3 linked regions of the Arabidopsis thaliana genome follow. The protein of the gene in region 1 interacts with the protein of each later gene in a pairwise test. Each region holds a gene or a part of one and is shown on either strand. Other genes may lie near its edges. The genes, in order: APRR2, CAM8 and CML11.

What was found.
Region 2: the proteins of APRR2 (region 1) and CAM8 interact in a two-hybrid assay, tested with the Arabidopsis thaliana proteins (one study listed by BioGRID).
Region 3: the proteins of APRR2 (region 1) and CML11 interact in a two-hybrid assay, tested with the Arabidopsis thaliana proteins (one study listed by BioGRID).

The regions. Positions count from the first base shown.
Region 1 is NC_003075.7:10,000,245-10,012,841, reverse strand, and holds APRR2 (CheY-like two-component responsive regulator family protein), read left to right. Parts: upstream 1-5,222; 5' UTR 5,223-5,449; exon of another isoform or gene 5,450-5,688; intron 5,689-6,066; 5' UTR 6,067-6,159; coding exon 6,160-6,307; intron 6,308-6,789; coding exon 6,790-6,939; intron 6,940-7,035; coding exon 7,036-7,082; intron 7,083-7,163; coding exon 7,164-7,241; intron 7,242-7,326; coding exon 7,327-7,797; intron 7,798-7,880; coding exon 7,881-8,021; intron 8,022-8,105; coding exon 8,106-8,360; intron 8,361-8,568; coding exon 8,569-8,634; intron 8,635-8,743; coding exon 8,744-8,818; coding exon of another isoform or gene 8,819-8,851; exon of another isoform or gene 8,852-8,927; coding exon 8,928-9,104; 3' UTR 9,105-9,996; downstream 9,997-12,597.
Region 2 is NC_003075.7:8,390,519-8,400,726, forward strand, and holds CAM8 (calmodulin 8), read left to right. Parts: upstream 1-7,193; 5' UTR 7,194-7,281; coding exon 7,282-7,360; exon of another isoform or gene 7,361-7,444; coding exon of another isoform or gene 7,445-7,469; coding exon 7,470-7,627; intron 7,628-8,048; coding exon 8,049-8,129; coding exon of another isoform or gene 8,130-8,177; exon of another isoform or gene 8,178-8,187; intron 8,188-9,340; coding exon 9,341-9,478; 3' UTR 9,479-9,708; downstream 9,709-10,208. Other genes in the region: GLP9 (germin-like protein 9), read left to right, coding at 2,402-2,531, 2,624-3,162.
Region 3 is NC_003074.8:8,120,462-8,130,456, reverse strand, and holds CML11 (calmodulin-like 11), read left to right. Parts: upstream 1-4,525; 5' UTR 4,526-4,621; coding exon 4,622-4,924; intron 4,925-5,010; coding exon 5,011-5,091; coding exon of another isoform or gene 5,092-5,103; exon of another isoform or gene 5,104-6,033; coding exon 6,034-6,171; 3' UTR 6,172-6,437; downstream 6,438-9,995. Other genes in the region: AT3G22935 (uncharacterized protein), read right to left, coding at 1-66; AT3G22920 (Cyclophilin-like peptidyl-prolyl cis-trans isomerase family protein), read left to right, coding at 7,046-7,744. UniProt on the Arabidopsis thaliana protein: Potential calcium sensor.

The sequences.
Region 1 (12,597 bases):
CAAAAAACTCCTCAGGTATTGTAGTTACAGTCCCTGTACTTTACATTTTTTACCAGATTTGACTACGAACTTTTGTTAAGATCAATTAAACCCAAATTCCTTCTTTTTCCTTTGTTACTCTTATGATTGAGTTTGTTTTTTCTTTCTTTCTTTCAGGTTACTAAGCTTGAAGTGTAGATCTATTTTACAACATCTGGAAAATTCTTATCAAAAAAGGAAGGAATCAGAATTTCCATTAAAGAAAGGTGTCAAAAAAAAGTTGTAAAACTATATAGTAGTGATCAAGACGAATATGTGCATTTATGTTTTATTTTTGTTCCCTAGTTTTTAATTTTATTTTTTTGAAGGAAGAAAAAATTAGTTCCATGTGTTTTTGCAAGATAGTTGAAACCTTGGACGCTTGTTATGTATGATGCGATCTTGACATTTTTTAATAACAGTTATTTTAAATAAATTTATGATATAAACGGAAACTTCTAGATAGTTTTAAATAACATAAAATTAGTAGAAAATATCAATAACAGTTCGATGACATTATTGTAGGGAAATTGATTCATATGTGGGTCGCTATTGTACGTAAATGGATACTACTGTTTTGGAAGAAAGCTATAGTTGTCATGGGTCACCTTTTGTCTCATGACTCTCATCATACATTTATAGATTACATATTTACATTATCATAACATTTTACACATATTGATATAACTATCTCTAATAAAAAAAAAACACAATCTAACTTTATAGCACATAAGTATTAAACATAATGAATTTATCCCCAACAGTTTTAAGTTCCGGTCGAATAAAAAACTATGGGTTGTTGTGACATCGGCTCCTTTATCTACAAACAAAAAGAGAAAAATTATTCTTCTTTTCTTTTTGGGCAAAGATGGAATAAAAGGACCAATAAAAATAGTAAAAAATACAACTAAGACTACTTTCGTATAAGTGATGACTCTATAAAGGAAACTGTTTTTTTCATTCAATTATTACATCAATACTACTTTCGTTTGAATTATAACATTTTCGTACAAAGATGGATGCATATACACATTTTGTTTGGCTTATCCTTCCCAGACAAAAAAAAGTGGCTTATTGTTTTTAACCTAAATAATCCGACTCGTATCAATACACTCGCTTAAGAATTTTTATTTTCTTTGATAACAGGAATTTCGCAAAATACTAATCTTTCGCATTTTTGGAGTGCCGAATATTGATGTTTTAAACATCTATAAGGAGTTAAGGATTAAGGACCAACTTTAAACAAAATCATAGTTGAATAACTCGAATCATAATTCCTCATCTCCAAGATGAGTCATCAAATCACTCGATCACAATAAAATGAGATATTTCGCCAAAGCTCAATTTCATTAAATTATAGGCAAGATCATACTCTTCCGTAAGGAAAGCAAATTGGAAACTATTAAACTTACATGGATAATAAAAGATACACAGGTTGATGTATTTTTAGGAACTACAACATCCAGATAACGAAACCATAAGAGAAAAAGTTATTACTAGAAAATAGATAAAGAAGTCTAAACATCCTAACCAACGAACTATTGACCTAGTGGTAAATTTCTCGGGTGAAGGTAGTAGGTTCAAGGCACGTTAGAAGAAATCTCTTCTCCAAAAAAGATGAATTTAACTTGGTGTGAATTCCGCCTCGGAATGTAGAACTTTTGGAGTTGAACTTCCAGATATTAAAAAAACAAAAAAAAATCATTTTAAAGATAATGAGTTCCATGGCGAAGATAAACCACTAGAACTGGCGGAAAGTTAACTGATGACATATCGTCAACCACCTTGAGATACATTGCCTTACAAGAATAACAAGATTCCGTCGAGTTTTGATAATCCTAACTTGCTTATAAAATGCTGAAGCACCCATTCCTTGAAAAAGGAGGTCACAAAAATGAGAATAATATTCAAACATAAAAAATAGTAGATACCTAATTACTTTTGATAGTTGAAAATTGAAATCAATATGGTATACAAAGGGAAAAGAAAATGGTACACAACGGAAGAGAGGAGCCGTGATTAATTTTTTATTCGGCCAAATCACAAATATAGAGTAACACTGAAACACGTAAATTATCTCAATGAACGCTTTTAGATTACAAGACACGTGAAATGAAAAAAGCTCTTTCACGACCACGATCTTAAGTTTATCTTGTGTCGGACTAATAAGATTTGAATGATTCAACAAGTACTAGTAACTACTTTTAAAAAATTTCATCATAGTAACCTTAGAAATTAAAAGCAATTATTTTAATCTCTTTTAATCATAATATAACGCAAGAGATTTCAAATTAGTTTCTTCCCCACTGAGATATATATAAAAAAACTTATCTTTTTATAAGTAGAAATAAAAAGACGAGTTGAAAATTGTGTGGCTAAAACTAAAAGAGAATAGCATTGGGACACCTAAAAAGTCAGAACTTCATTCAATTACATTACATATACAACACATAAATATGACAAATGTTAGTTGTCTATTTCATGTGGAACATGAAGACTACATAAATATATATCTCATCGTTTTCTTTTCCAAATTGTGTTTAAAATGTATGAAAACACCGGTATATATTCGATTTTATTTTTGATTATTATTCTAAAACCAAAAACCAAAAAGATTTGAACTGAAACTAAACTAAACATTTTTTTTGATAAAAATATATTAAACTGTTGTATCGAACAACTCCTAACAAACATAAAGCAAAACAACATAATTTATTTCTTGATTGTAAGATTTTGTTCATATTTGAGATTTGAGTTACAAAGACCACCATTTGAAATCCGAGGCAAAACTGTGGGCTATTCAGTATTTCTTACGTTACTTTCATAGGCTCATATATAAATGTTTTTGTTTTCTTTCTTATTTTGGCTCAATTAAATAAGCTGTTACAACTTACCTCGATTGGTCCGTTACGTACAAGCTTCATAAATACAACGTTGAATAAGTTCTTCACAGTGACCAGCTCAACTAAGGTAAATGAGAAACGGAAGAAAGCTGAACTTAAAGCTAAGGAACGAAGACAGACATTTACCTTATTCATCTTGTGGAGAGGAACAAGTAAAACCTTTCGCATTGCTCCTATCTCATTGAGTATGAGAACTGATAGAACTCCAAACCATGATAATTGCTCCAAACTATTCCTGAAAAGCCGGTATATGCAACATAGTTAAGATACGCATAGTCATAGACTAAATACTTATTTGATAATAAGTTTTAATTCTCTCCGTGTTTTAGCTCTCGGGTTTTGTTTGGCTTTTGATGTCTGAAAATGTTTTTTTGTCAACTTATTCTCATTTTGCGAGTGACGGTTTAGTGTGTCTATTAATTATCTGATTTGTCCGGTTTTGGTCTTCGATTTGTTTGGCTTTTGTTTCTTGAAGGTCCGGGCTAATTTAGTCGGGTCATGTAGGTTTCGTTTATTCAGTTCATTTAGTTTTCAAGTATTTGTAACCTGCCTTTCGTCAACACATCCAAGTATCCAATATAATCTATTAGATGACCAAAAAAAACAAAAAAAGGAAACTTGTAATTTACAAAGCATAAACATTATTTGTTGATGTGAAATCTCTAGTTTTGAGATTTACTTCTACTCCAATCTTGAGTCTTTAATGTCATTATTTTACTCCAATTTTGATGTTCAATTTCTTGAGAAAAAAAAACGTGTATTATGTATTATTGGAGAATTTTTTACCGAATATCTCTTTAGTATCGTAAAAGAAAAATGTTTATCCTTGCATACATAACATATAATTTGCTCATACGGTTTTTATAAGTAATGAAGCTTTTTATTTTCACCCCCAAAGAACAAACATCTGATCATCTCCAATTTTGACCTCAAAAGAATACGATGAAGTTTGAATAATTATGTTAAAAGGAAAATAAAATAAAAGGATGGTCACGGAGGAACGAACAAGCGAAAGCAATGATCATTCCAATGAGTAAAAAATGACCATCTACTAACGAAAGTTTTCCATTATATTATGTTTTTGCCTTTTTTCAAAATAATCACATTGGTGAACTTTTTGTAAGAAAATTTATACTATTAAAATTGAGTAAGAATAATGACATTAATGACTACCAATTCATAACTTTACTCTGTTTTAAAATAATAATCACAATTGGATATGGTCAAACTAAAGTTTTCCATTTGCCGTTACAAGAAATGCTATATAAGTTTCGTTTGGTTGTTGAATATACCTCATTATGAATTTAGGACAATCAATGCTATTTGTTTCATCTGTAATTAATTATATCTAACAATCAATTAATGACAATAGAAAAGAATAATGTGTTTACACTAATTCTGTATTCACTAATCTAGATTTTTGCGCAATTTGAATTTTAAAGTTTAGTGTAAGGTTTTTTTTTTTTGGGTGCACACTGAATATAGTTTAGCCTAAGTAATACTAGATATATAGTAGTAAAAGGAAATAGGTTTTAATTAAATTAAGAAGTTTGGTTAAATTCAACTGTTGCTTTGAAACCACACACACATGTCATCATAAAAGTTGGGCAACGAGTTTGAAAGATGGAACCTCTGCAAAATAAAGTTTTTCTTTCCCTACCTTATGCATATATAATTATTTTCCACAAACATAGTGTACCATCAATAAAAATACATATATGATCTATATTTTGGCATAAAGTTTTCCATTATTTTCTTGTGATAATGATTATGGTAAAGATTTTTAGTGCAGATTAATTTTTTGGTTATTAGATTATTTGTTCTTTAAAATGCAGAAACATTGTTGAAACTTAGAACCAAATGAAAGCTGAATATTGCTTGTTTTTTTTTTGTTTTTTTTTTCACAATATTGCTTGTTTTAGTTTGTTATGTTTTCATTTACCATTCATTTAGTAGAATATATTCATTAGTTAATAAAAAAGCTTTTAAAAGAGTTTTCTTATCATGTTAGTTCGGTTTACTTCGCACCGTTTTGATTGGTACAAATGGGTATAGTTCTATACCGGACAATAAATTTTGTTATATTTTTGTAAAATTATTGGTCTACATTTAATAAAACTAGGCTAATTTTGATATAATGACATATTAAGGGATTTAGATTTTTTTTTTTGGTAAGGTTTAGATTTTTTCTTGTATTGTTATAGGAAATTAATCCTATATATTGATTAATAAAGACAAAAATAATAATTAATCCTTATCTCTTTTTTCCTCTAACCTCAGTTAACCTTTATCTTAGTAAGACTTTTTATTCTCTTTATCTCTGTGCATAACCCAATGACAAGAACAACACTAGTCACCAACTTATTATAACTCTTCATCCATTTTCTCTCTCTCAAAGTCACCCCCCAAATTTTTTTATTTTTTTTTTTAACTTTGAATGTGACTCAGGATAGAGAGAGGGCGAGACAGATAAAGAGAGCTTGAGGAAGGATTTAAGCAGATCTGCAAGAAACACTCTCTCAGGTAAGGTGAGAACTCTAAAATATGAATTTACTCATTTGACTTCTGAATTGTGAAAGTTTGTTTGTTTGGTTTTAAATTTCCAAAGCTTTTCTTTTGATCAATTACATGTTCATTGCATGTGATGTGAGCATGATCTCTTATCTGGATATAAGATCTTCTCCTTCTTCTGCTTATGGAAAGAAAAAAACATCAGTTTTATCGAAAGTGCAACTTATGATTTGATCACAATTCTTTTTCTCTCTGGGTATATATCTCTCTCTCAATTTCCCTAAATTCTAGGGATTTGCCTTTCTCCTTCATTAGTTGTCATAAGCCTATGTTTTAGTATTTGTTAAAGGTCATTAGTCTGTGTTGTTAAGTTAACTAATCACTGCATGCACGAGTTAAACAACACTAAACTAATAATATATTCACTCTTAAATGATTCAAAAGCTTTGTTAGATTTCATGGCATGGTGGTCCACTCTTTATAAATAACAAAATCAAGTTCCTCATGAATTATTCTTATCTCATCAATAATACACACACCTTTTGAATATTTACTTTTCTTGTATCTTTATTCTGTCTAATTTTTTTGTTTATTCTATTCATTTCCCCTTTTTTTATTAATAAAATCTAGCCAGTGTTTACTTTTTTTCCGTAGAATCAAACCGGCGGCGACAGTGACGGCGGCGAAAAGCGGCGGTGTTGGCCGCAAAAACGATGCAAAACCAGCTATGGTCATTACCGCTAACGATTTATCAAAATGGGAAAATTTTCCTAAAGGACTTAAGGTTCTTCTTCTCCTCAACGGCTGTGACAGCGACGGAGATGGCTCCTCAGCCGCCGAGACTCGATCAGAGCTCGAATCAATGGACTATATCGGTAAGCCACTAATTTTCCTCTGTTTCTTACTTTAAAGGTTATTTAATCAGTGGTTATGCATAAATATTTAATCATAAGTTATGTGAGTGAGACTATACTAGTTTAATATTAGAGTTGCTTTAGCTCTTACATGTCCCGTGACAATTCTAAATTGTATCGCCTTCTATTATATTTGCATAAATACACACAGACATACACAGGTATAGATTGGTCAATAGCCTATGAATAGAATTATACCATTATTGTGTATATATATAGGGGGAAAAATAATATTAATATGTAAAATGCAACGCTTTTAGTTGATACGTACATAAGTAGTAAAAGCTTGTGCAGTTATGTTTTGGACTTTTGTTAGTTTATATTTATGAACCAGGATCCAAATTATCTCGAAACTGTTTATGGATTTCTGTGTGTTTTGACTATCAAACACATAATGTTAAGATTATAGATTCAATTTTTGCTTTTTTGGAACTTTCTTGCAGTTACTACATTCACCGATGAAACTGAAGCACTCTCTGCGGTTGTCAAGAACCCGGAGAGCTTCCACATTGCCATCGTCGAGGTGAATATGAGCGCTGAGAGTGAGAGTTTCAAGTTTCTTGAGGCTGCCAAAGACGTTCTTCCTACTATAAGTTTGTGAACCTTTTACAAGTACCCTTTTTATTTTTTCACAAATCTTTACAATACGAAAAGATTGTTAAAATGTGGATTCTTTTATGTCTTTACAGTGATTTCAACCGATCATTGCATCACTACTACAATGAAATGCATAGCGGTAAGTGATTGCGACTTGCATTTGCGTAGATGTATAAGAATGTTGGTTATGTGATGATGAGAATTGATAAGTGTTTTTCAGCTTGGTGCAGTTGAGTTCCTACAAAAACCGCTCTCACCGGAGAAATTAAAGAACATTTGGCAGCATGTTGTTCATAAGGTTTAGTTAGTTTTTTCGCGTCTTTAATTCCTCGGTAATATAATCATAATCTAAGAAAGTTGTTGTTACATTTTTATGTTGCTAGGCATTCAATGATGGTGGAAGTAATGTTTCGATATCACTTAAGCCAGTGAAAGAATCCGTTGTCTCGATGCTTCATCTTGAGACCGACATGACAATCGAGGAGAAAGATCCAGCGCCATCAACACCGCAATTGAAACAAGATTCACGGTTACTAGACGGTGATTGCCAAGAGAACATAAATTTCTCGATGGAAAATGTAAATTCCTCGACCGAGAAAGATAACATGGAAGATCATCAAGACATCGGTGAATCTAAATCAGTCGACACTACAAACCGCAAATTAGATGACGACAAAGTGGTTGTCAAAGAAGAGAGAGGAGACAGTGAAAAAGAAGAAGAAGGTGAAACCGGAGATCTCATAAGCGAGAAGACAGATTCAGTTGATATTCATAAGAAAGAAGATGAGACTAAACCGATTAATAAATCATCCGGGATCAAGAACGTGTCTGGTAACAAAACTAGTCGAAAGAAGGTAACGTTGTGTTTCTCTTGACGCTCCTCAGTGCTAAAAGATTCAAGCTCTCGTTATCATTGTTACTACTTTCTTTTCTACAGGTGGATTGGACACCAGAGCTGCACAAGAAGTTTGTGCAAGCAGTTGAGCAACTCGGCGTTGATCAAGCGATACCCTCGCGGATTCTTGAGTTGATGAAAGTAGGCACCTTAACAAGACACAATGTAGCTAGTCACCTTCAGGTAATTAGATCCCAAGGGTCGAATGTTTCGCAAGATTTCTGAATTCTTGTAAAATGTTACACAACTTTTGAAAATTTTGACCAGAAATTTCGGCAGCATAGGAAGAATATTCTTCCAAAGGATGATCATAACCATAGATGGATACAATCTAGAGAGAACCATAGACCAAATCAACGTAATTATAACGTTTTTCAACAGCAACACCGTCCCGTGATGGCTTATCCCGTTTGGGGTCTTCCCGGTGTTTATCCGCCAGGAGCGATTCCACCTTTGTGGCCACCGCCGCTGCAGTCCATTGGTCAACCACCTCCGTGGCATTGGAAACCACCTTATCCAACGGTAACATCTTTTTATAAGTCAAAGATTCTAGCTAAAATAAAATAAATCACATTTATCTGTACAAGAAAATGTCATTACATATCTACAAATTAAACGATAAAATGAACTCATACCTATACATTTTAGCTAATGCATTCTCTATATAGACATATTTTGTGACATTATGATAGAACATCCATAGCTAAATCGTCCATATATGATGTTTCAGGTGAGCGGTAATGCATGGGGTTGTCCGGTTGGACCGCCTGTGACCGGATCATATATTACTCCTTCGGTGAATATTTTCACAATCTATAATATTAAACTTTATATTTATGGAAATTTAATCATTACAAAAATCTTATTTTTTAATTTTTAAAGAGATTTTTGTTTTTTTGTTGCAGAATACTACCGCCGGCGGATTTCAATATCCCAACGGAGCTGAAACCGGCTTCAAAATAATGCCGGCGAGTCAGCCGGTTAGTGTCAACAATTCTCTATTTTCTTTTTAAGACATAAAAATTCCTAATTAATTAATAAAAAATAAAATTTGCCGGGTCGGGTTGCGATGTAAATGGGTCGGGTCAGGACGAGGAAATGTTAGATCAAGTGGTTAAAGAAGCGATAAGCAAACCGTGGCTGCCGCTACCGCTCGGGCTAAAACCGCCGTCCGCGGAGAGCGTTTTGGCTGAGCTAACGCGTCAAGGCATCTCAGCCGTCCCTTCTTCTTCTTGTCTAATCAACGGCTCTCATCGTCTCCGCTGACGTGTCCATGATGAAACAGAACCCGCAGATATGATGACGTCATGCGTGGCGTACTTGTCCGTGTCTGACGATCCGAAGCGGGAACTGATTCGGATCCTGAGAGTTGTTTTTTAATTGTTGTTTTTAATTTTTTGTTGTCATAAAAACATTTGTCTCTATTGGTATTATTAAAGAAGATCGGACGGTGGAGATAGAGGCAACGATGTTAGTCTGAGGACCACAAGTGGACTCTGCGGCTGTAAGTAGATCTCGGACACGGGATTTTGACAAGTCGGAATCTGACGTGTGTGCGTACTCGCTTTTGTGGGTTGTCGAGAATTTAATAGTTGACACTGTTTTAGGTGGATATGAGATATGATGATGATAATAATAAAAAGGTACAACTCAAAGATTCCGTGATGACATTTTGTTCTTTTTTTCTATAAATTCCAAGATACACACAACAACAACAACAACAAATATACATCTTTTCTTTTCTTTTTTTGCCAAGAACAAATATACACTTATTCACATCGGACATAAAATGTTTTACATTACTTAGATGTGTTTGGATTTCTATTTTTAACTTATGTGATACATACTGATTGCGTTATACAAAGCACAAGAAAGTGCTAACAAAATTATCGAAGTAGACAAATAGAGAGACTACGTTTTATATTGGGCCTAAAAAGAAGATGTTCAGAATTGGGCCTCGTTGATGACTTTATCGCAGCATAATGTCCAGGGGATAACATTTTCAGAAGATATCAAGAGAAAAGAGTAATGAGTATGACAATATAAGTGGAAATTTATTAAAATTCGGTAAAATGTATACCAAAAAGAAAAATCAGAAGATCCTACGAGCTAGAAAACAAACAAATATTGCAAATATAATATCTGAAACCAAGTGGATGTATAATTGTAAAATCGCTTGCAATTTTATATATATATATATATATATATATATATATATATATATATATATATATATGATCATGTGAACTTGGAGTCTTATTAGACACGTTATTTTATTCGGTGGAACTCAACTAGAGACTAACTATTTTTGTAGAGTTTACGAACTTATAACATGCTTATTATACCAAATCACATGATTCAGTTTATCTGAATAGGCTGTTTTTACTCTAACCAAATTGTCAACCAAAATAAATTTAAACAAGTTTTCGGAACAGAAGATTCCCCTCAAAACATACAAGTCATATTATTTTTCTAGGACATTTTTTTACCAATGCATACATAATTTTTGGTGTGTAATGCACGAATTCGTAATCGTATTTTTTCTTTTGTCGACACTTCTCTGTATATGTCTGGTTAGCTACAAATGCACTAAACATTTTCACATAATTGATAAAAGAAGTGCATTGTGGACCAAGAAAAAGAAGCTCAATGGTGGAGACTGCAACTCCTTAGCCGTGTAACATTGTTTTTTTTTTGTTAAAGTAGCCGTGTAACATTGTGACACACATATTTCAGTTGTCCACAATTTCTAAGTGCTATTGTGCTTCTCTTTTACTTCTTTTCCCCTTTTTTTGGCGTCACTTTTAACTTATTTTATATGTAATTTGCCTTTTATTACAATGTATAAAAAATATTCTCACGTGAGCGTTCAAAGCATTTAAACGGTCGATAAGAAAATTTTTGAGCGTCGGCATCATTCACTCAAAGACATTGTGAAAGCCACGAATACAATAGAAGAAAGTGCGTTTTAAAATAACATGAACACTCTTACTTAGCAATGAATATAACAAGTTCATGGCGTATATGCTATATATATTTTGAATCATATTAATTGCTTCAAACATTACAAATACTCAGCAATCAACGTTTGATTTGTATTTTACAACGCTTTACTCACTTCAAATGCTCTAAGCATATTTTTTTTAAAACAAATGTAATACTATTAGACAGCTAAAAACGCAATACTAGAAACCCTTGTTTAATTTCCTTCTAGACTAAGTTTTTGGTCCATACTACGAATATGTGATGATAATGCCACTCTCTTGCATGGTGGGATCTCCAATTCTCTCAAACCCGTATGGTTCTGAAATCACCAAAGTGTGGAGCAAAAGATAGTGATTTCTGATGTAGAGAGATCTCACATTCATTCTCACATTCCAATTTGTAATTTTGTATGCAAACAACAACATCACCCTCATTTTATTCCTTTTTATAATATTTTTGTAATACTATTTTACTTCAACTCTTGTAATAAAAAGCGAATATTCGACTTTATTTTTCATATTTGGGATATCACATTGTTTGCATTGCTGTAACAGATAAAGACCAATGACTTTTATTACAAATCAATTTTGTTTTGTTTCTTTTTTTGCAACTTTTGTATAAAATTGTTAGTAAGAAGATAAGCGATTAGGGACAAAAACGTCGCCGGTTGCTATGTGAGTAGTGACGAGTCAGATCAGTGGCTCACAGCTGTGTTTGTAGGTACTGTAACGGTACTCTATAATTATAACCGACATCAACCAAATTTTGGTTTTTATCAATTTTCAACCCCGACCTATTCTTTGTATCAGTCACATTTTGAACCCCAAATGACGCTTTTTCTTTATCTTTAAGGCTGATTACGATTCAAGACTTAAAAAGAGGTTTTATATAACAAATATTCCACATAAGTTTCTTTATCTTTCTGTAACGTACTAACGTGTATGTACTCTTTCTCAACCGTACCTCTCTATATACGTAAGTATGTAACCCTCTATCATTTTTATTGTAACGCATTAAGCTTTTTTCTTATGAAAAAGAGATAAACACGTTAATACTTATATAGAATAAACTTTATCTGGTTTCTTACAATTTTGTTTAAATAGAGTGTTATATTCAATAATCAATAACTTTTTCAATGTCGCCATATATTCCAAAAAAAACGTTTTGTGTTATGATCCCTACTTATGACCGATAGAAGAAAATTCAGAATTGGAAAAAAAAACATACTCTAAATAATTTGTTTTACCATCGGAGTGTTACTGTGTTAGATACGTCGACCAAAGTCCACAGGAAAAAAGAGATAAAAATTACTATTCCTAAATAATAGCTAACTCAGCCCTAGATCCACTGTGCCTAAAACCATAAGTCCAAATACGCAAGCCATGCAACCAACAAGTTGAATCTATAAAAGACACAACAAATCCAAGAATAGCAATCCTCTGCTGTTTAAAATGTTTTGACATTTTATTCCTCAAACAAAAGAACAAAGCATAATTGTGAACTTGTAAGATGGACGTAGGGCCGAGTAATCACTTCACAAGGATGTATATTTCGTTTTTGTTTTTGCTACGTCCCAGAGCTAAATAGTTATATGCTATTGTGTGGGTCGTACGTAATTAGTTCACATACTTTTACAATTTGAATGATTAGGACTGAGCTGTAAAAGAAAATGAAAGTTGAGATCTCTTCAAGTTTGATTTTCTAAAAATTATGGGGTCAACTTGAAGGTTTAACTCAAACATATCCATCGTTAAGTGTTCTCCCTTGGGCTCAC
Region 2 (10,208 bases), 1.6 Mb from region 1:
CTCTCAAGCTACTACTCTCAAATCAGTGGATCATCATCTTCACAAAAACGAAGAAGAAAAGAAAAAAAAATATAAGTGACGGTTTTCTTAACGCTGACGATTTTCACGGGAAACATGACGACGATTGTCGGAAACAGCGTTATTAGAAACAGTAATGGAGGAAATAGTCACCGGAATATTCATTTTCCCGGCGATTGATTAAGGTTTTTGAGGAAAATCTAAGAGTAATTTTTTTTTTGCTATTGATGAGAATTTCGATTTTTGTTTCTTCTTCTGGTTTGGGGTTAAAACGAGATTGGTTGATTTTATAGGTGCAGTGTGATAGCTGAAGCTGAAGAGGTTATTAAAGAAGAAGCTGACTAGACACGATGATGCCACGTCATTTATATTACGTGATAGAGCAAATTACCGTTTAATCCTCTTAGTGGGACGGTGTGGTTTGATTTTTTCACTTTTTGGTTGTTATTATTATATTTCAGATTTCTTTTATTTTTACTGCTAGTAGTAATTGTGGTAGCTTCTTTTTATGGAAAAAAACTGTCAGTGAAAATTGTAATAATGAACATTATTACAGTTTTGTCTTCTTTCTCCACAGCTCCACTACTGTGGCGTGGAAGATCGGGCATATCTCTTTCAGTCATCATCGGGATTTTCGGAATTATTTATTTATTCTTCTGTTTTTATTGAATTGATGTAATTAAAAAGGTTTAAATATATAGACACAGCTATTTTTCGCAGGAAAATTAGTGATGTTTGTGCTAATAAGAGTGGACCACGTAGCAGGAGGGAAGTTGATCTTTTTACTCCTTCGTTGTTGAATTGCAATTGAATTTGCTTTTTATATGTTGTTAGACGATCGATTAAAAATGTATAAAAGAGATTGCACAGTCCACTTAGTTTCGCGTCTTGGTAAATTCGGGAATTGGATTGTTTCGTTTTTTTTTTTTTTGTCGGCCAAAGTTATTAATGTAAAAGCCCAATTGGCAGTATAATGATGGAAATAAAAGCCCACATTTCTCCGTTCATATATTTGTATTGTTTTTTTTTTTTGTTTTGTGTGGATCCCCAGTATTACGGATTTGGTTGGGATTTGGGAAGTATTTGTAATTTGTATCTTGAAATCTTTGTCGTGGCCTCTTTGGTTACTTGTCTTATTTCAATCGGTCAATGAAATAATTAACAAAAACAAATTGATTAGAAAACTCATTAGTACTCGAAACATATATTTGTAGAACTTAAGTGAGTTATAAGAGCTACAATGTCGAAACTAAAAAACTTTGGTGAAATATAAACACATGAGCTAGCTATAATATACAAACTGTATGTCCGTGTACATGAGATAGTCAGTGGTGAGGGGAAATAATCCAAATTTTGTTTTGATATGAATCCGATAGTCGTTTTTGCACATCTTATAGGGACATGATCAGACATGATGTTGAGTTCTTTAAGCTGTCAAAACAAAGATATAATGTTTTGTTTGTAATCTTAATATAAAACCAAAATCTTTCAATGAAACTTCACATTATCTACTTTACGCTATATAACTATACAACTATATATATATATATATATATATATATATATGCGTTTAAATTTCACAGTATCTTCTTATATGCGTTTCCTAATCTCTCTACAAAACTAGGATATTCTTCCGTGACAAGTAAGTAGTAACAGCCTCTCTCTTTCAATGATCAGTCTATTAACATCTATATATTGATATGGTCATGTTTTATCGCTTAACGAATCAAGCAACCCAAAACCACCAAAAATTCACATTTGACATTTGTCAAAGACTCTCAATGTCAACTCTAAAACTCATGCAAATAAAATAATCAAATATTCTCAAAATCATCAGGTATAGTTCATGAAAACCTGAGAAACAATCATATTATTGAATAAACCCTCTTGCAGTATAAGTAACTTATATAACTCTATCAATGCCGACACTTAACATTTTAAATTTCAAGTGCCTCCTTTTTCAGTTGAAGATCTTTTGTGTGTTTAATTAAGATACTACTAACGTAAACATGGTAACAAGATAATGTTTTAAATAACTCCTTACATAATACGACTTGATGCAACACGGTTTAGTTAAAGGTTTACCATTTCAAACTTCGAGATAATGAAAGCTACACTTAACAATGGTAACAATACAATAATTTAAATAATTCTCAATATAATATGACCTGAGGGAACACGGTTTCAACAGCATTTTACCGTTTCAAACTTATAGACAATGAAAATTACATTGGAATATACATACATATGGACTTGTTCAAACCGAAAATCATCTATAAATTGAACTCTTTGTCTCATAAATTTATCACATCTTCATTGACACCACAAATAAGAAACTAACAAAAACCTTTTTGTCTTCTACAAATCGTCTCCATACATACATATGACGATAAAAAGTCTCTCTTTTCTTGCGGCTCTATCTCTCTTTGCTTTGACACTTCCATTAGTAATTGCTTCCGATCCAAGCCCCCTTCAAGACTTTTGTGTTGGTGTCAACACACCAGCAGATGGCGGTAAGCACATGATCATTTTTTAATTTATTAAATATATTTGTATGTTGATTTATGCATTACTAATACTCTATTTTTATCAAAACCTTGTCTAGTGTTTGTGAATGGAAAGTTTTGCAAGGATCCAAGGATAGTTTTCGCGGATGATTTCTTTTTCTCGAGCCTCAACAGACCTGGAAATACAAATAACGCGGTTGGGTCCAACGTGACAACCGTCAATGTTAACAACCTTGGAGGACTAAACACTCTTGGTATCTCACTTGTTCGTATAGACTATGCACCCAACGGTCAGAACCCACCTCACACCCACCCACGTGCCACCGAGATCTTGGTTGTTCAACAAGGAACTCTACTTGTAGGGTTTATCTCATCAAACCAAGACGGAAACCGTCTTTTCGCCAAAACACTCAACGTGGGTGACGTATTTGTGTTTCCAGAAGGACTCATCCATTTCCAGTTCAACCTAGGAGGAACTCCAGCAGTTGCAATCGCTGCTTTGAGCAGCCAAAACGCAGGTGTTATCACAATTGCTAACACAATATTTGGGTCTAAACCAGATGTAGACCCGAATGTTCTTGCAAGAGCATTCCAAATGGATGTTAATGCGGTCAGGAATTTACAAGCCAGGTTCTAATAATGTAATAAGAAATATAGTCTTTGGAATTACTTTATTAATACAAGCATGGTTCAGCCGTACTGTGACATGTATATGATGTTGGTTGTTGTTTTATCTTAATAATATTTTGGTCATTGATTAATTAATTTTCTATTTGTGTTAAACTATTAAGCATGTTGTGCATAACCTTCGTGTTTCTTCAGGAAAAAGTTAATTCTTGTATTATAAAATTAACTAAATATAATTATAAATTCATATTACTAATAAAAAACATGAATTTAGATACACAAAAACTAATCTATATGTGTGGGTAACGAAATGTTTTATAGTAACAAAAATGTATATCATTCTTTTACCAGTATTTTAGATTAAATTTAAATAGAAAACAAAGAATAACATGTGACCTACTCATGTATTTTCACAAAAAAAAGTTTAAGTATTTTTATTATATCCAGAAACAACAATAATTTATGAACTTTACAAGAATGATGATATTATTTTTGCTTCTATGAAAACAATTATTATTATTTTTGGTGGGAATGAAAAATAACTAATAGTTTAGAAATACCTAGAATGTTTAGAAAAATTTAACGATAAGTTTGACCCTCCTAAAAAATATTTATGTCTCCGCCATTGGGTGGAGAAGAGATCAGAGTTACTGTGTGACGATAGAATAATAATACCCAAACAAGGAGAGTTAACAATAAATATTTCTTAGATTGATTTCCCCAAATGGATAAAGCAGCGTTACAGAATGTATGCAAGGAAAATCCAAAGTATTTCAATACCCAATCTCAATAATGCAAATGTGAGCTTCTCACTGAAATTTTCTTCTCTCAAGCATTTAAATAAAATAGTGCAAGAAAGAATCATCAAGAGTTAACTATTTCCAAAGACGTAAAAAAGTTTTGATTTTCATTTTGCCAGTAAGTAGCAAAGTATCGTTTTTTTCACATATTTGTTTAGCAAACCATAGTCCAAGACCCAAGAATGAAAATGTCTTGGTTGAGAAAATCAGCAGATTAATAGGCTTGTTCTTAGACGCATAATCTAGCAAATGCTTTACGCAATTAAGCAGATATATAGATTTTTATCGAAGCTTTCCCCAAAACATAATCTCTCAAATACAAAATCATATATAACCGCTGGTTTAACCTACATTTTTTATTAGTTACTGAAAATTCTATACAGTGGTTACAAATACGAGAGGTTTTTTGGGATTAAAAAAACTCAAGAGTATAATCTGAATTTTAACCTATAATTTTAGTGGCAAATATAAAATTTCTTCTCTCATAGTCTCATGTTATTTGTTATGTGAATAAGCTAAAGCTCATTTTCAAACTATGCATTCTATTCTTTAAAAAAAGAAAGAGAAAAACCATGCATCATATTTCACAAATATCTATCAGTTCTAATATCATGTCGTGTCGTTTTTCTTAGTCAGAATATCTAAGTTGACGCTTCACATTGAAGACAAAATCAATCCTTTTAGGTTTCCATTGATAGAATGCTTAAAGCTTACAACTTGAGTTTCAGGATGTTTAAATACAAAGGTGGAGACTTGGCTAAACCTTAGAGAGATTTGACAGATGTCATACATCAGGTTGAGTTTTCTAAATCAAGGGTTGAGAAACGATTCTCGAGCTTAATGTTGAACTGCTTTCCCATACAAGAAGTCGTTATCTCCTTATTGCCAGCTCCACTTTTGTCATTACTTGAGGAAACTTCTAAGCTCTGTTTGCTTGAACCAGATGACCGTTGCTTCCACTTTTGTTTCTTGGGCTTGGTTTGTGCTGAGGCCCATCAGTTTCATTTTCCTCTTTACTCCATTAGCCGAAAGGACAACGTACTTCGTTGTCTAAATATTTTGTTGTAATTGCAATGACATAAAACAAATATTCGTTAATTTCCCTATGTTAATTCTTTTAATTAAAGGGGTCAAAAAAGTATTACTAAAGTGAGCTATTTAAGGTTGCAAATATATTTTATCTATATTTTAACCTGAATTATTTTCCCACCTAGGAAGAGTAAAAATGCAAAGATTACTAATGAAGAAAAGCCCCATAATTTTGTTTTTTTTTTTGTTTTTACAATTCGTTTCTAGAAACTCAAAATATGAAAAGTTGAATCGTTTCAAAAAGAAATTGCTGGTTCGTTAATTTGCTACGTCTAATCGTTTATTTATAATTATTTTCTTATATCGTGCTTATGAACTTATAATGCAACGTATGATACATGCATTTCCCCTACTGTTCGAATACCAATTGCAGATTCAATGCAAGTCAGCAAGTATCTCCTAAATTATTTCTTAGCAGTAGATATTCTTCTTAATGATTACAATCTTTTAGCAGTAGATATTCTTCTCAATTATGATATGTGACGTGGAATATATATTTTCATCTGTTATATAAAAACAGTCGCAATTATTCAAACAAAATGTATAGGAAAATAAATAAGTGGTGTGAATATGTGATTCAAATGAATCTGTAATATTCTCAAAATTCCTACCTCCGTGAATTCTAGAAAATGTCGTCGATCGGAACAAATTTGAAAATAGAATGATTTGTGTGGATAAACTTTTAAATCATTGTGTGGGAACGCACGGATTCTACAAAATCATGCTGGCCAAGTTAAGCTTCATAGCCTTAATGCATTCACAGCTATGGACAGTCGAGTTGTACGTTAATATGTCTTCTATGGACAGGAGCGGGTAAGATGGCCAATGAGGTCATTATGTTGAGATGTACGTAGACAAATTTCAATGTTGTTCTTTCTGAGTATTAAAAGAGTGTGATCACTGATTTTGAAGTCAGAAAAAACAAAAGAACATGTTTAAAGCGTCAAGTTTATCGCATCGTCTCGGTTCTCAGATTGTGTATTTGGTAGCTGCGGTGGTGGCTAAATTGCGGTCTCTTTTGTTGACATCACTTGTATTTCTTGACTAGTTATTTGTGCTACCTGGTTTTGAATGTGTCTTGCTAGTGCGGTTCTTCATAATTGAAGTTAGTGCTGCAATGAGTTATCACCTCTTGTTGCGTTTGTTTTGTGTTCTAGAAGAGTTAGTAAGATCGATGGTGTTCGATGTGGTTATGAATCGCATAAATCATGCTCTGCTCTATCCGACTTTGGGGAAAGAAATTGGTAGATGGAGCTTGCATCGTTCGCATAATTTGGTTCTTGAGGTTCCATATTATTGGAAAGCTTATGGACTTGAACAACGAGTCACTGTCACATGACGCGAGAGGAGTTTATGCCAGAGAACTTTGAGTTTCTACCGTTGACGGCTCATCCTTAGACCTCCAATTCAAAGTTTTTAATGCAAATAGTTTAGCATTATGCTTTTTTCAAGCAGTAGTTACCCTTCTTCTTAAAAAAACAAAAAACAAAAAACTTAATTATAAGATAAAATTTCAAAATAGTCATATTTTTATCTAACTCGTTCGGCTTCAACGCTTTGGTTGAGTTGATTGACCAAAACTTGTGAATCACGATGTATGCTTCTATGTTTTATTTTTCTTGTTATAGGATCATTTGTATAGGCTTAAAATCTTTTGATTGTAAATTTATATTTTTATCATTTCAATAAAATATTTTTATTTTTATTTAAGAAAAAACAGAAAAAAACAAAAAACAAAAGAACATAATTGTTGCGTACAAAATGAGTGGCTAATGGGTTTGAACTAGACAGAAAAAGTTAGGGACGTTTTATCAAAGACTATTGTAGGCTTATACTTGTTTGTTTTAGGACTTGTCGTTCTATGTCTATTTGTAGTAGTCTCTACTTGTTAGAATAAGATGATTTTTTCAAAACTAATTTTGCACAAGTGATTTGAACTTTAACAAACAGCGACAATTATTAATTTATTATATGGGATTCAGCCATGTGACTAGAATTAAATTGTTCAATCCAAGAGTTCTAGACCCAAAAAAAAAACAGTACTGCCCTTTCAATTTAAAATAATTTGAGAATCAATTAAAGAGCTTAAAGTAGTTGAAAAGTACATAAGTCCAATGTAGAAAAGGTCTTGTCACAACTCTACATATAGACCATAAATCAGAGATTTAAGCACTTCAAACCTTGAGCTCCCTCCTCTCTCTCTCTCTCTCTCTTTGTCTTCAAAATATTCTCAGAAAACAATGGAAGAAACAGCACTGACAAAAGATCAGATCACTGAGTTCAAAGAAGCCTTTTGTCTCTTCGACAAAGACGGCGACGGTTCTCTTCCTTTCTCTAGATGGTCATATATAGAATAAAGATAATAAAGACGACGACTAATATTATGTTGTGTGACATTTATTTATGGTTGTTTGGAATCCTTTAATAGGTTGTATAACGGTGGAAGAACTTGCAACAGTGATCCGTTCGTTGGATCAGAATCCGACAGAACAAGAACTTCATGATATCATCACTGAGATTGATTCTGATAGCAACGGCACCATTGAATTTGCTGAGTTTCTCAACCTCATGGCCAAAAAACTTCAGGTTCCACTCTCTCTTGATCTCTCATGCTTATTTATTTCACAACTAATTACATCAAGTTAACGTAGCCACGTACAAACCAAAAAGTTACATCAAGTGAAATTTTTTTGTCTATATGATTTCTTATATATTATGTTATAGGTCCCTTATTGTAACTCTTTGATATGGGATCCTAACAGGTTCTAGTCAAAATGGAGCTGTCTCATTCATTATGCTTCTAGTTTATTAAAAACTCTTAAGAAATATATTGGAAATATTCAGCTTTTGTATTACAGCAAAATCTGTTTTGCTTTCGGTTTTTCACTACGAATAAATCTGATTTGTGAAGAACTAGACACGTAAATGTGTATAATGTAAACAAAGACTTTTATGACAATAGTTTTTTTGTATGTTAAGTTGTTGTCATGATCATGTGATGGTTTAGGAAAGTGATGCGGAGGAAGAGCTGAAAGAAGCATTCAAAGTCTTTGACAAAGACCAAAATGGATACATCTCTGCCAGTGAGGTCCGTGACTCTTACTCTCTTTTTTTTCTCTCTTTATTACTAATTTGATATATGTGTCAATGTGTATATTTAGTTAGATATATGCTTGACTTATTGAGAACTTAAAAGGGAACTTATGCGGAAAATCCTCTTTAAGAACTTATAAAAACAAATTAGTTCGATGCACTGGATTGCGTTTTGTACAACGTTCTCCAATAATACCATGTACGGTCTAACTGTGTTTTTATTTGGTTATAAATGATTAGAGCTATAATTATTTAGATTTTTGTATCTACTAGAAATCCTTATCTAAATTTTGGTTATTGTCAAATTTAGTTTAGGTACATGAACCAATTTCATAAATGTCTTCTTTGCTTAAGTGGTACATGCTCTATATCTCTAAAGTGTCGTCAAATACAGGCTAAGCACAATAATTATGAGCATAGTATTTTTATGTAACCACTTGGACCAATTAATTCTGCATTAACTAGAAAAAACGAGAAATCCAGCTAAAACACACTTTCACATATGTAGAATCAATGACAAATATCAGACAACAAAGCCAGACGATCTTCCAATTTAAAGAGATCCATAGTTGTCTCATTTATGTTCTAAAACATTTTTTAACAAGACATGGCCATTTATTTATTTGATTTTATATTTTCGAAAGTCTGTTTTCCATCGTGAGGGCTTAGAGCTAGCTGGCATTGTGAATCTTTAGAGAATAACGAAGAGGAACAAAAGAAATTTTAATACAAAGTAGTTAGATAGAGTAAAATGCGTTTGATTTTATTGGTTTATTTGACAGGAGGGCACATGTTTCACCTAGTTTAATTAAATATATATACCTTTCTTTACATCCTCAAAAGTTACATTAATGCAGACACCTTTTTGCATGCAACACAATTCAATTTATTAATTTGGGGTTTTCTATATCGATTGGTCAAAACTTAGGCTAAAACCAGCTGTATTTTGCTTACAACTTAAAAAAAAAAAAACTAAACAATTGTATGAATTTGGTTTATTCATATTTTTCGTACCGAAATTAGAAATTGTTCAAGTTAGGCCGTTTGACCTACTATATTGTATTGCATATTCAAATGGATAATAAACAATTATTATTCTCTGTACAGGGTCAGACCCGTCTGATTAACATGCACAACTTAATTTACAATAATTAGACTAACAATTACGTTAATTATTTATTAATTTGAAAAGCTTTGTTATTGCAGTTGAGTCATGTAATGATAAATCTAGGAGAAAAGCTAACAGATGAAGAAGTTGAACAAATGATAAAGGAGGCAGATTTGGATGGTGATGGCCAAGTCAATTATGATGAATTTGTCAAGATGATGATCAACATTGACTGATTACTTTTTCTAAATCTATTTATTATATAAGCCAATGATCCTTAATTACCTTGTTAGTTGTTACTACTTCGTGTTCACACCATCTCAACAAATTCTCCATTATTCCACATTCATTGAAATTTTCAGATCCAGTTTTGTTTTATCACTTGTGAAGCTGTCAAATCCAATATAATCTCTATATTATAGCTTTCTCTATATGATTTTGGAATTCTGTTTATACATAGTTTGTTTCTATATTATAGCTTTTTCGATATGATATTTTTCTTCTTCTTGCAATCTTTGATTATAGGTGTTTCAATATGATTTTGGAATTATATTTAGCGAATGAATACGAAACACAATTTTTTTTGTGGAAAATGCAAAAAATCTTAAAACAAAGCAGCATATTGAGTTTATGTGAATGCTAAAGTATTTGGATATTATTTTCCTCATGAAAGTGAGGAGTTGAACTCCTTCACTCAAACGAAAATATCTAATGGCTAAACCACTAGTCTAGACACTTTAAAGAATAATTGAAAATGATTTATGTAAAAAAAAAGAAAAGTGAGACTGTGAGAAAGCCATGCCCATATAATATTTAGTAAGAAAATAATAATAAAATTACAGGTAGTAAAAAAATTTCCACACTTTATCAAAAACCCCTCAAACAGAAAATCCCAATTTAAGTATACAGAAAAGAGAAAACCCAATCCACACTTTCACTTATTTCCTCCCAATTTCTCAGAATAAT
Region 3 (9,995 bases), on another chromosome or scaffold:
AAGATGGTGAAGGCTCCCAATATCATGGATCTCAATATCGAGCATCTCATTATCAAGAAAGTCCATTTCATGGAAAACAAGTTCAAGGAGAACCGGATCAAGGTGAAGACCAAAGATCACCAAATAACCAAGAAGATTTTACCCAATATTATAATTATCTTAGCGGAACCGGAAATAATTTTCCTTAACCATTTGTGAAGCTTTTGTTATGTTTTTAAAACATATCTCGTTGCATTTAGTTTTTATGTTTGTGTGGTTTAAATTTTTTAATTATGTTATAAATGTATAATTTATTTTATTGTATTTTCAATCAACTTCGGTATTAGTTTTAATATTTTCTACTAATCCATCATTTTATTACATTAAAGATTACAAAAATAGTACTTATAAATTATTTTTTAGTTACAAGCCTTAGTTAGATTACTTAAATCTCATTACAAATCATATATAATCTATTATAACTAAATAAGCTATTTTAATATATAATAATGTTAACACAAAAGAAAAAATTATTATTTTAATATTTGCCGTGGCTATAATAGTGCACCAAATATAGTGTTACACTGTAAAAAAAAGAGAATCACACTATTATAGTGCAAATTATACTGTCTGATTGGAGTGAAAAAGTAAACATGCCCACGTTATTTTAACGTTTTCCCGTGGCGTTGGACTTGGCCTAACAACTCCGTTGGAAGATGAGAGATCGTCATTGCTTCAATCTGACGAGCAAGTTTCATTTTTTACACGAATTGGAGTTTGTTTGGTAGGGTTCAGAGAATTCACAGAGACGAAGAGGAAAAGTTGTAAACGAGGAAGGTCGATTAAAGGTTAATGGGCCTGTATACCAAATGTTTAACGGCCCATTATGGCTTTCTTCACTGTGTTATTTTTGGTCATTAAACGACTGTTCTTTGTTTATAAGCATAAACATAAACCACATTTAACAATCAAAATTGCAATTTCAAAGAAAAATAGAGTTACTTGGTGGCATGGTGGGTCAGCTAGTATTCGACTGACAATGTCAGTTTCTATAACCTTTTCAAGAGAACGAAACTACGTTTGATTTATCAATCTTTATAGCAATAATCTCCGTACAATATTACATATGATGAATCTGTAATGCCATCTCTGAGTCTCGACCACTCATTAAGATCTTGGACGGGTGACAAAAGAGTGAAACCGCGTACCAAGCTGTGCGAGCTGTTTTCTTTCCATTTTTAATTTCAGTCACTAAAAAAAGATTAAGGCCAAAGACAAATCAATTGTTGGATACTGAAATAATTTAATTATTCGATTGTTTATTTATTTGATAGAATATACATCAAATTAGGAGAGATCAATTCGGATGAACCACACACTTCTCATTGTCAATTTGACATTTTTGAATTAACCAAAAAAGAAAAAAAAAAACTAGAGAGAAATGATGAAATAGTGTTAAATTGCGTACGTCAACATGATATGTACAAAGGACCACGAAATCCATCTACAATATTTGGACGACTTTTAGAATTTCGTCTATCACAATTCTCATTTGTTTATCATATTTTCCATTTCTATTTATAAACATTAAGTGACGAAATTTTTATTCATACTCATTAAGAACTAATCGGTATAACATAAACTGTATAGATGTTGCTCTTTTTTATAGTCTTCATTGTAAAAAAAGAAAAGTACATGTTTTGACTTCAAACTAATCATAACCAAAAGTTTTGACAAAATTGATTAATGAGGAAATAATCAGTGAATAGGTCCATGAGTCCATGGCCATTAAAATAGAGAGTAAACCAACTATATACTGTATGATGAACCGGTCTAAATAATATAGATTTAAATGGCAAAAAAATCCCATTTTTCAGTCTCTTTGATCAGATTGGGATTAGGTTAGACCTCATATTTTAACCCTAATTCAGATGACAAGTACTCTAACTAAATCTAACTATTATTTCACATCATTATGTAAATGTGTACTCAAAAACACACTAGTACGATTTATAGTGTACCTTCTTAATATATACGGCATTAAATTGTTTTCAACCCCTTAAAAGATGCCATTCAACATCTACAATAATCTTTGCGGGACAAAAAAGGTCAAATACAAAAGACAAAACTAAAAGCAATAACATTAATTGGGTCATATACAACTTTACATTTAGCACTTTTGACTTTACAAAATCAAAACGCATCCAAACACTATACGTAAGCTTGTGTAATAGTTAGTGTAATGATAATGGTACCATAAAGCTAGCATTACTAAATTATATCAAGACCATGTAAACAAGAATACGGTTGATTATTTAAATTGTTGTGTACAAAAGTTATTAAATCACTAAGTTCTATCAAGACCATATCAATCAAAAAAAGAACTTGCTCATTTAAATGATTGTATATTCGTATCGTTATCGTATGCATCATTTCCTCCCTTTAATATTTTCGAATATCTACATTCTAGTCAAGTCAACATGTTGCGATGGAGGAAAAGTTCAATAGTATTGAATTTAGGTCTTGGGAATCACCAGATCCCTGTACAGTTGGAATTTTAGTCATAAATTTTGTATAGAAATAAAACCATAATATATGAGGTTCAAATTCTAATAGTTTAGGATTCAATGCGATCATTTAACACTTCGAAATCCTATCCGAGTTGAAGTTAACTTCTTCTTTTTTTGGACAAATTTAAAGATAAACTTAATTTCCTCTTTTGTATAGGTAATAGGTTAAAGGGGTTAAGAAATTGTTTCAGGTTTACGTATTTCATATGTAGAAATATTACTGAATCATATCAAAATGTCTTTTTTTTTTTGTGTGTCTGATTTTGGTCCAGATAGATTCTGAATTGTTTTAATCACTCTTACGCATTAGATTCTGTCTTTTTTCCACAATGGCTAATTTGATTAAGAACCTAAATGATTGTTTGCGACACGGCCAATTCAGCTTAGTCAACAAGTTTAAGCATGCATTTAGATGTCGGTATCATTATGCAAAGTCTACACAAAATGGTGTGTGATTCGTTGAAGCTGAGTCAGCTTTTAATTTAATTAGAAAAGTCTTTATCTACACAAAGTCGCAAACTATTAATAGTAATATGAAAATATTCTTAGATGAACTTTGCAAATTGCAACACCTTCATACAATTTCAAATGTAACTTACATAATCAATTAATCAAGTACATTTTAAAAAAAAATATTTTGTAAAAATTATAATTGTGAAACTTAGGATTTTTTTTCTTTCTGTCGAACTATATTTATAGATTATAATGCAATAACTGAAAATAAGATTACAAGAAACAGATTAACCACAAGATGTACATTTTTCTTGGCAACATATATATATATGTGTAGAAGATTCAAAAAGTACGATTTGCTTCTAAATAAATGATGGTTGTTTTATCAAATTACACATTTATTCAAAATAAATCAAGAAAATGACTAAATTGAGGAATAAAAGAGATCGACACGTTTTCCCGTAACGCAAGTGCTCGGTCTACCTATTTCAATGCTCTTTGTCTCCTCGTCATCTATCTTACAGCTGTTGAAACCCACACCCATTTATTTTACATATACACATACTTCATGTTTTTATAATTTTTTTTTTTTTTTTTTACTATAACAAATTACTACATACTCTTCGTCTATTCCTTGGGTTTCACAAAACAAATAGTATCGTTTTTGAAACTCTACTTTCATTTCACAAAAAGTAATTTTGTATTTTTAAATCAAATTTCAAATTTTTTCTCTATTTTTAATTTATTTAGAGAAGAAAAATTAGTTTGAATATTGTAACAAAGAAAATTGTAAGTTTTTTTCTTATTTTAAAAATTTACGTAAAAATAGTAAAATAACACTATTTAAACAGAGAAGACAATTCACAACCCATCTGCATAATGTCTTTGCTTGGTATTATATGTATTTTGTGCGACAAAAATTGTTTTTTTTTTTTTTTTACCACACTATAGTAACTTTCAAGAATATTGACGTGATTCTGATCTTCAAGGCTTTCAAGTTAGCCGTGTATAATAAGAAAACAAATATATAATATTACGAGTACAAAAAGAATTTTTAAAGAGTTTCAATCAAATTACTAGTTAGCCTAAAAATATCCCTTTCAAAAAAAAAAAAAGCTCTAAGTTCGTATAAAACTTTGTTAAAGGAAATAATATTTTGAATCATGTGACTGGAATTAAAATTCCAAATAAATAATTGGGAAATTTACTAGGGAGACCCATATTTTAGGTTTAATTACTAGAATGATATATCAAAAATGTGAGTTATATGAGTAATATTTTGGTCTAAAATATCCTTTATTTGCTTTGTTAGGAAAAATAATATTACAGGAATGCCATTATTATTTAATTTCAGCATGGCAAAAAGAATAATTTTATTTACGAAAATGCCACTCCAGTATTTTATTTCCAATAATTTGTGCAATATAACTTTTAATGAAAAGAAGTGGAAAAAGGTGAATGAGTCCAAAGCAAGAAAGTCGCAAAGACTTCTACAAATAAGAAAACAGAATGAGAGTTGAAGCACTTCAAAGCTTTTCAGCTCTCTCTCTTCTCTTCTCTTCTCTTCTCTTCTCTTCTCTTTTCTCTCTGAAGAAGACTACTAAGCAAGTTTTAATTGGATGGAAGAAATTCAACAACAACAACAACAACAACAACAACAACAACAACAACAACAACAACAACAACAACAACAACAAGAACTGACGCAAGAACAGATAATGGAGTTCAAAGAGGCTTTTTGTCTATTCGACAAAGATGGTGATGGATGCATCACTGCTGATGAACTTGCCACTGTGATCCGCTCATTGGATCAGAACCCTACCGAGCAAGAACTTCAAGATATGATCACTGAGATCGACTCCGATGGCAACGGCACCATCGAATTTTCGGAGTTTCTCAACCTCATGGCTAACCAACTCCAGGTTCAATTCTAAAATGTTACATCAATGAAGCATATTTGTTTTTAACATATATTGATTGTTTTTTTTTTGTTTTTTTGTGGTTATAGGAAACTGATGCAGATGAAGAGCTGAAAGAAGCATTCAAAGTGTTTGACAAAGACCAAAATGGTTACATCTCTGCCAGTGAGGTAAGCAAATAATTTACTCTTTCTTCTCTTAATTCTAATTCATACTAATACTCCTTTAATTAATGATTGGAAGCATAAAAAGGAGTATGTTACTTATGTGTTAACTGATTGTAGTATTATTTTGTCTAGTTTCGTTACATGAACCAATTTTTCAAAAAACAAATAGTATTAATTTTTTATTTTACTTGAGTTGAGTAGAACACAAGCTCGGAATTTAGATTTATGTATTTTCTTATTTTTATCAACAATTGTGCATTTAGTTAGAAAATGACAACAAATTGATAGCTAAATCAAGGTTAGAATCTTTTGAATTAATGAAAACATCAGATCACAAGTCTAGACGATATTTCGAGTTTTACAAGAGATCCTTTATGTGTCTTATTCATAACTTGGAGCAGAAAATGACAACAAGATATGGCTAATTATGTTTTTCTTAATTAATTGAAAAGTGTCTTGTGTCGTAAAAAGCTAAATTGTTTGAGGCTTCGAGCTAGCTGGCATTATGACTTTTTGGAGATAACGAGGTCAAAAGAAATATTTAAAAATATTGATAACATTTAGTAAAATGTGTTTATGATTCTATTGGTTTATTGGGCAGAGCATATGTCTCACTTAAGCGTAAATAATATGTTTATACTTTCACACCCAGTTTCTTCTTCTTAATCATGCATTTTCGTTCGAATATATAGTTCAACATTTTTGCTCTTGGAATATAAGAACTCAACAAAGACTAGTATTCATCTATTACATTTATTTTTACAATTTAGTTAGAGTTGCTCTTTTTTCCCTATCTTTTTGTTTCTGAATTTCATAGATTTATTTATCTACAAAAACTATTCGACGGACGATATCTTATGCATTGGCCATGATCCATGCTTAACAATAAACATCATTAGTAGATAGTAATTCTATAATCTTTGTAATTTTGATATATAATTACAGTTGAGGCATGTGATGATTAATCTTGGGGAGAAGCTAACAGATGAAGAGGTTGATCAAATGATAAAAGAGGCAGATTTGGATGGTGATGGCCAAGTCAATTATGATGAATTTGTCAGGATGATGATGATCAATGGTTAAAAAATCCTAATCATTTTTACTCTTCATTGTATTATCTTTTATAAATTTGTTTAATCCTTCTTCTTTTTTCGGAATATCGCATTATAAATTAATCTTAAGCTTTTATATTCAATTGAACAAGTAGATTTTTCTTTTAGGCGTGTGGATTCTTACTATGTATCTGATGTATAGTGTGTTTCTTTCAGTCGATGTGAAGTTTGTCCAAATTTTAGTGCGTGACTTTGACCAAGAGATATATATGCTTCTATGAGACGAATAGCCGAATATAATCAACGAATAAGCCATTTACAAATTATAACCAACCAGTATGGACCAATGGGCTGAAATATACCAAGCCCAACCAGGTTTAGCATTATACAACCGCTATTTATACAATTTCAGTTACAACTACAAAATTGATGTAAAATAAATTTTACTAGTTCTTTCCCCACTAATTTGTTTTAGATTTACATGTGATCTAAATATATATACTATCATATCATTGAGTTCAACCATACTAAAATAATAAGAACTAGAGATATGATTTGGATGAATATATTCTTCATCACTTCTTTTTTTTTGGTGATCGAAAGTACTGTATAAAAAGAGATGGATTCACAAATACTTGGGCTTTAATTATCCAATATGAAATTGTTATTATTGACTAGCAAGTTTCTCTGAATTTTAAGTTTTTAACATTACTTAAAGATTTTTTTTCTTTATTGGGCTTATAAAGCCCTTCAACTGTTGGATTTAGTTTTCCTAAACTAAATAGCAATTGTACAAGGAAAATCTATATTATTGATATATAAGAACTATTTGCTCCATTATGGTATTTACGTTATAAAAATTGTGCTAAACCATAGAAACCCTAATACTAGATTTCTCTCCGACAATGGCTAACCCTAAAGTTTTCTTTGATTTGACCGTGGATGGCAAACCCGCTGGTCGGATCGTGATAGAGCTCTTCGCTGACTTGACTCCACGGACGGCGGAGAACTTCAGGGGTCTGTGTACCGGCGAGAGAGGCATCGGAAAGTGTGGTAAACCAATCCACTACAAAGGATCAACCTTCGACCATATTGTTCCCGATCTCATGTGGTGTGGAGGAGATATCATCTTCGAAAACGAACCCATCCACAGCGAAGAATTAGACGACGAGTACTTTATCTTGAACCACGAAGACGGTCCAGGTATCATCTCCATGGCCGACTCCAACGGATCTCAGTTCCAAATCCACATGAAGGACTATGGCTTGCAAGTGGACGGTGATCACGTTGTGATCGGCAAAGTTGTTGAAGGATTGGATCTTATGAGGAACATTGAGAAGGAGGTCATAACTACGACAACAAGGACGCCTTCAAAGCCTGTGGTGATCGCGGACTGCGGTGAGCTTTCAGATTATAGGTCAGAAAGATGTTATCTTATGAAGAACATTGAGAAGGAGGTCATAATTAAAACAGCAAAGGATAACAAGCCCGTGGTGATTGCGGACTGCGGTGGGCTTTCAGATGATAGATCTGAAAGATATTATCTTATAAATATAGTTGTTGCTTGCATGGTTTTGATGTGTTTTTGGTCTTGGTTCGTTTAATTTAGTTTTAACTTTTGGAGTTTAAGATAGCTAGCCTATCAATGAATGATAAGCATAAATTTTAGCTATTATTTGCTACTAAGAAAATCTGTTGTAAGCTCATAGAAGATATTTGCCATAGCATGTGTTGCTTAATATTTGGGTGTTTTGGTGTGTTTCGTGCATTCCGAGTTTGGTGTTCCCGTTTAAATTGGCTACCATTTAATATTGGAAAAATGTTTATCAGCTACACGAAGTACAACCGAACACATTGTCACACATGCAAATTTTAAAAATGTCTCGTTAGTTATACGAAGTATTGACATCACATACAGACATACACGAACAAACATAAGTAATGTTGCCAACACCATAATCATCATACTTTGATGTTTCGATCATCAAAATCTGGCATTGACTAATGTTGACCAAACAACATATTCATTTTTTTTTTAATAAATTGTGTTCTCAACTTTGTTCGGAGTTAGTTTTCTAAGAAAATGGAATTAGATTTGATTCAGTTTCTTCTACTTTTGGTAGGCTAGGATAGGAGGCTCCTTCGTTAGCATATATATGGGTATTATTCCGTTATCGTTTCGGATCAATCTTTTGTTCTTTTTTATGACTGAATAGTATAAATCTGAGCGGAATATTTGAGAATTGAAGAGCTGTTAAGGGGAATGATTTGATTTAGGGTTATATTAATTGTTTGTTGTGGATTAATGGAGTTGATAAATAAAATAGCTTTGGTTAGTTTGATTTTTTTAGCAGTTGGTGTTCCTTTAGTTAGTAGTGTTTTCAATTTTGATGTAGTTCCTTTTTTATAAGCTTAACAAAATTTTGATCGCAGATCATACAAATTACAAAGGATTGATTTACATCTAAGGATACTTACGCAAACCTGTGTACGCTAATGAGCTGGGAAGAAGGACCTTTGAAATGATCAAATTAGCTTTGCTAATGTAATGTAGAGAACACTATTCTTGTTGACAGTTTTTACTTTCTATGATGCTAAATTTTATCCGTGTGAATGGAAAAGCATGCTTCTATTGCAAGAACAAAACATCAGCGTCAGAGACTCAGAGAACAAAAGTGGACCGACTATACATAAGCCCAATACAAATAAAATGACTTTGGTCAACGGACGTTAAGAATTAAGAATTGACTTATATATAATTTGTAGTCAATAACAAATGACCACAGATTCTTCCACATTGGATAAGTTATAGTAATATGCTTCTTCTTTTTTATAATTGTTATTGCAGTAGCGTACTATCGAAGAAAAGTTATATGAACGACGGAAGTCTCAATTATAAACAAAAAAAAAGAACAGAATTTTTTGGGCCCCATAAAATGTTTATGATATGTATTTTTAGGGACTTCTTTTTTATCAAGAAGTTTTCGATTTCGATTTCACAAATGTCCAAGACAAGTTTTCGATTTCACAAATGTCCAACAGCCTAAAACTAAACCTGAATGGTAGATTTTACATGTTAAATTTCACTATCCATCATTCTTGAATCTTCATAATATGTTTATTTGTATTGGGCTTATGGCCTATAGGTTTTAAAGTGCAGCAAATATAGTTTGATAAAAAAAAGTTAAGCGAAAACCAGATGATTAAAAAACAAAACAAAAAATATCATCTACAAAGTGCAAAAGCAAAATACATGTGTTCAGCTATAAGTAATCCACAAATTAGTTAAAAAATTGGGTCAATTCTCAATTGTAAACTAACCATAACCCTATTTCGCCATAATATACCAATTTATTCCCAAATCTTTCCACTTTCTTATGACTCTTTGTTGCTTACGTCTTCTTCCTTATGTCATATCTAGCCATTTTTTTTGTTTCTCTTGACGGGAAATATATAACGTAGACGAAAATGTGATGAGTGGTTCCAACGAGGAATCCATTAATAGTGGTTGAGACTTGCTACATTAAGTCCCCATAGAAATTTTGGTTCTCATTTTCCTAAGTTATTATTGCTTATTAACTAAAATAAGCAATACCTTTAAATTCTTTCCACAACATATGAAATTTCTCTACGCCTGACGATCAGATTCGGATAATTCGAGGTGGAAAGCCCTGACTTCGTCAAAAAGTTACTGTCCACTTTTACAACTTTTTTTTTTTTTTGGTAACAACTTTACAACAATTCCAAGTAATTTGTTAGTAGGTAATAATATATAGCCAAAAAGTAACGTTTGGATAAACAAGATTGATAACGTAGGGTCTAGGTAATATGATTGATATCTAGTATTACGAGGAC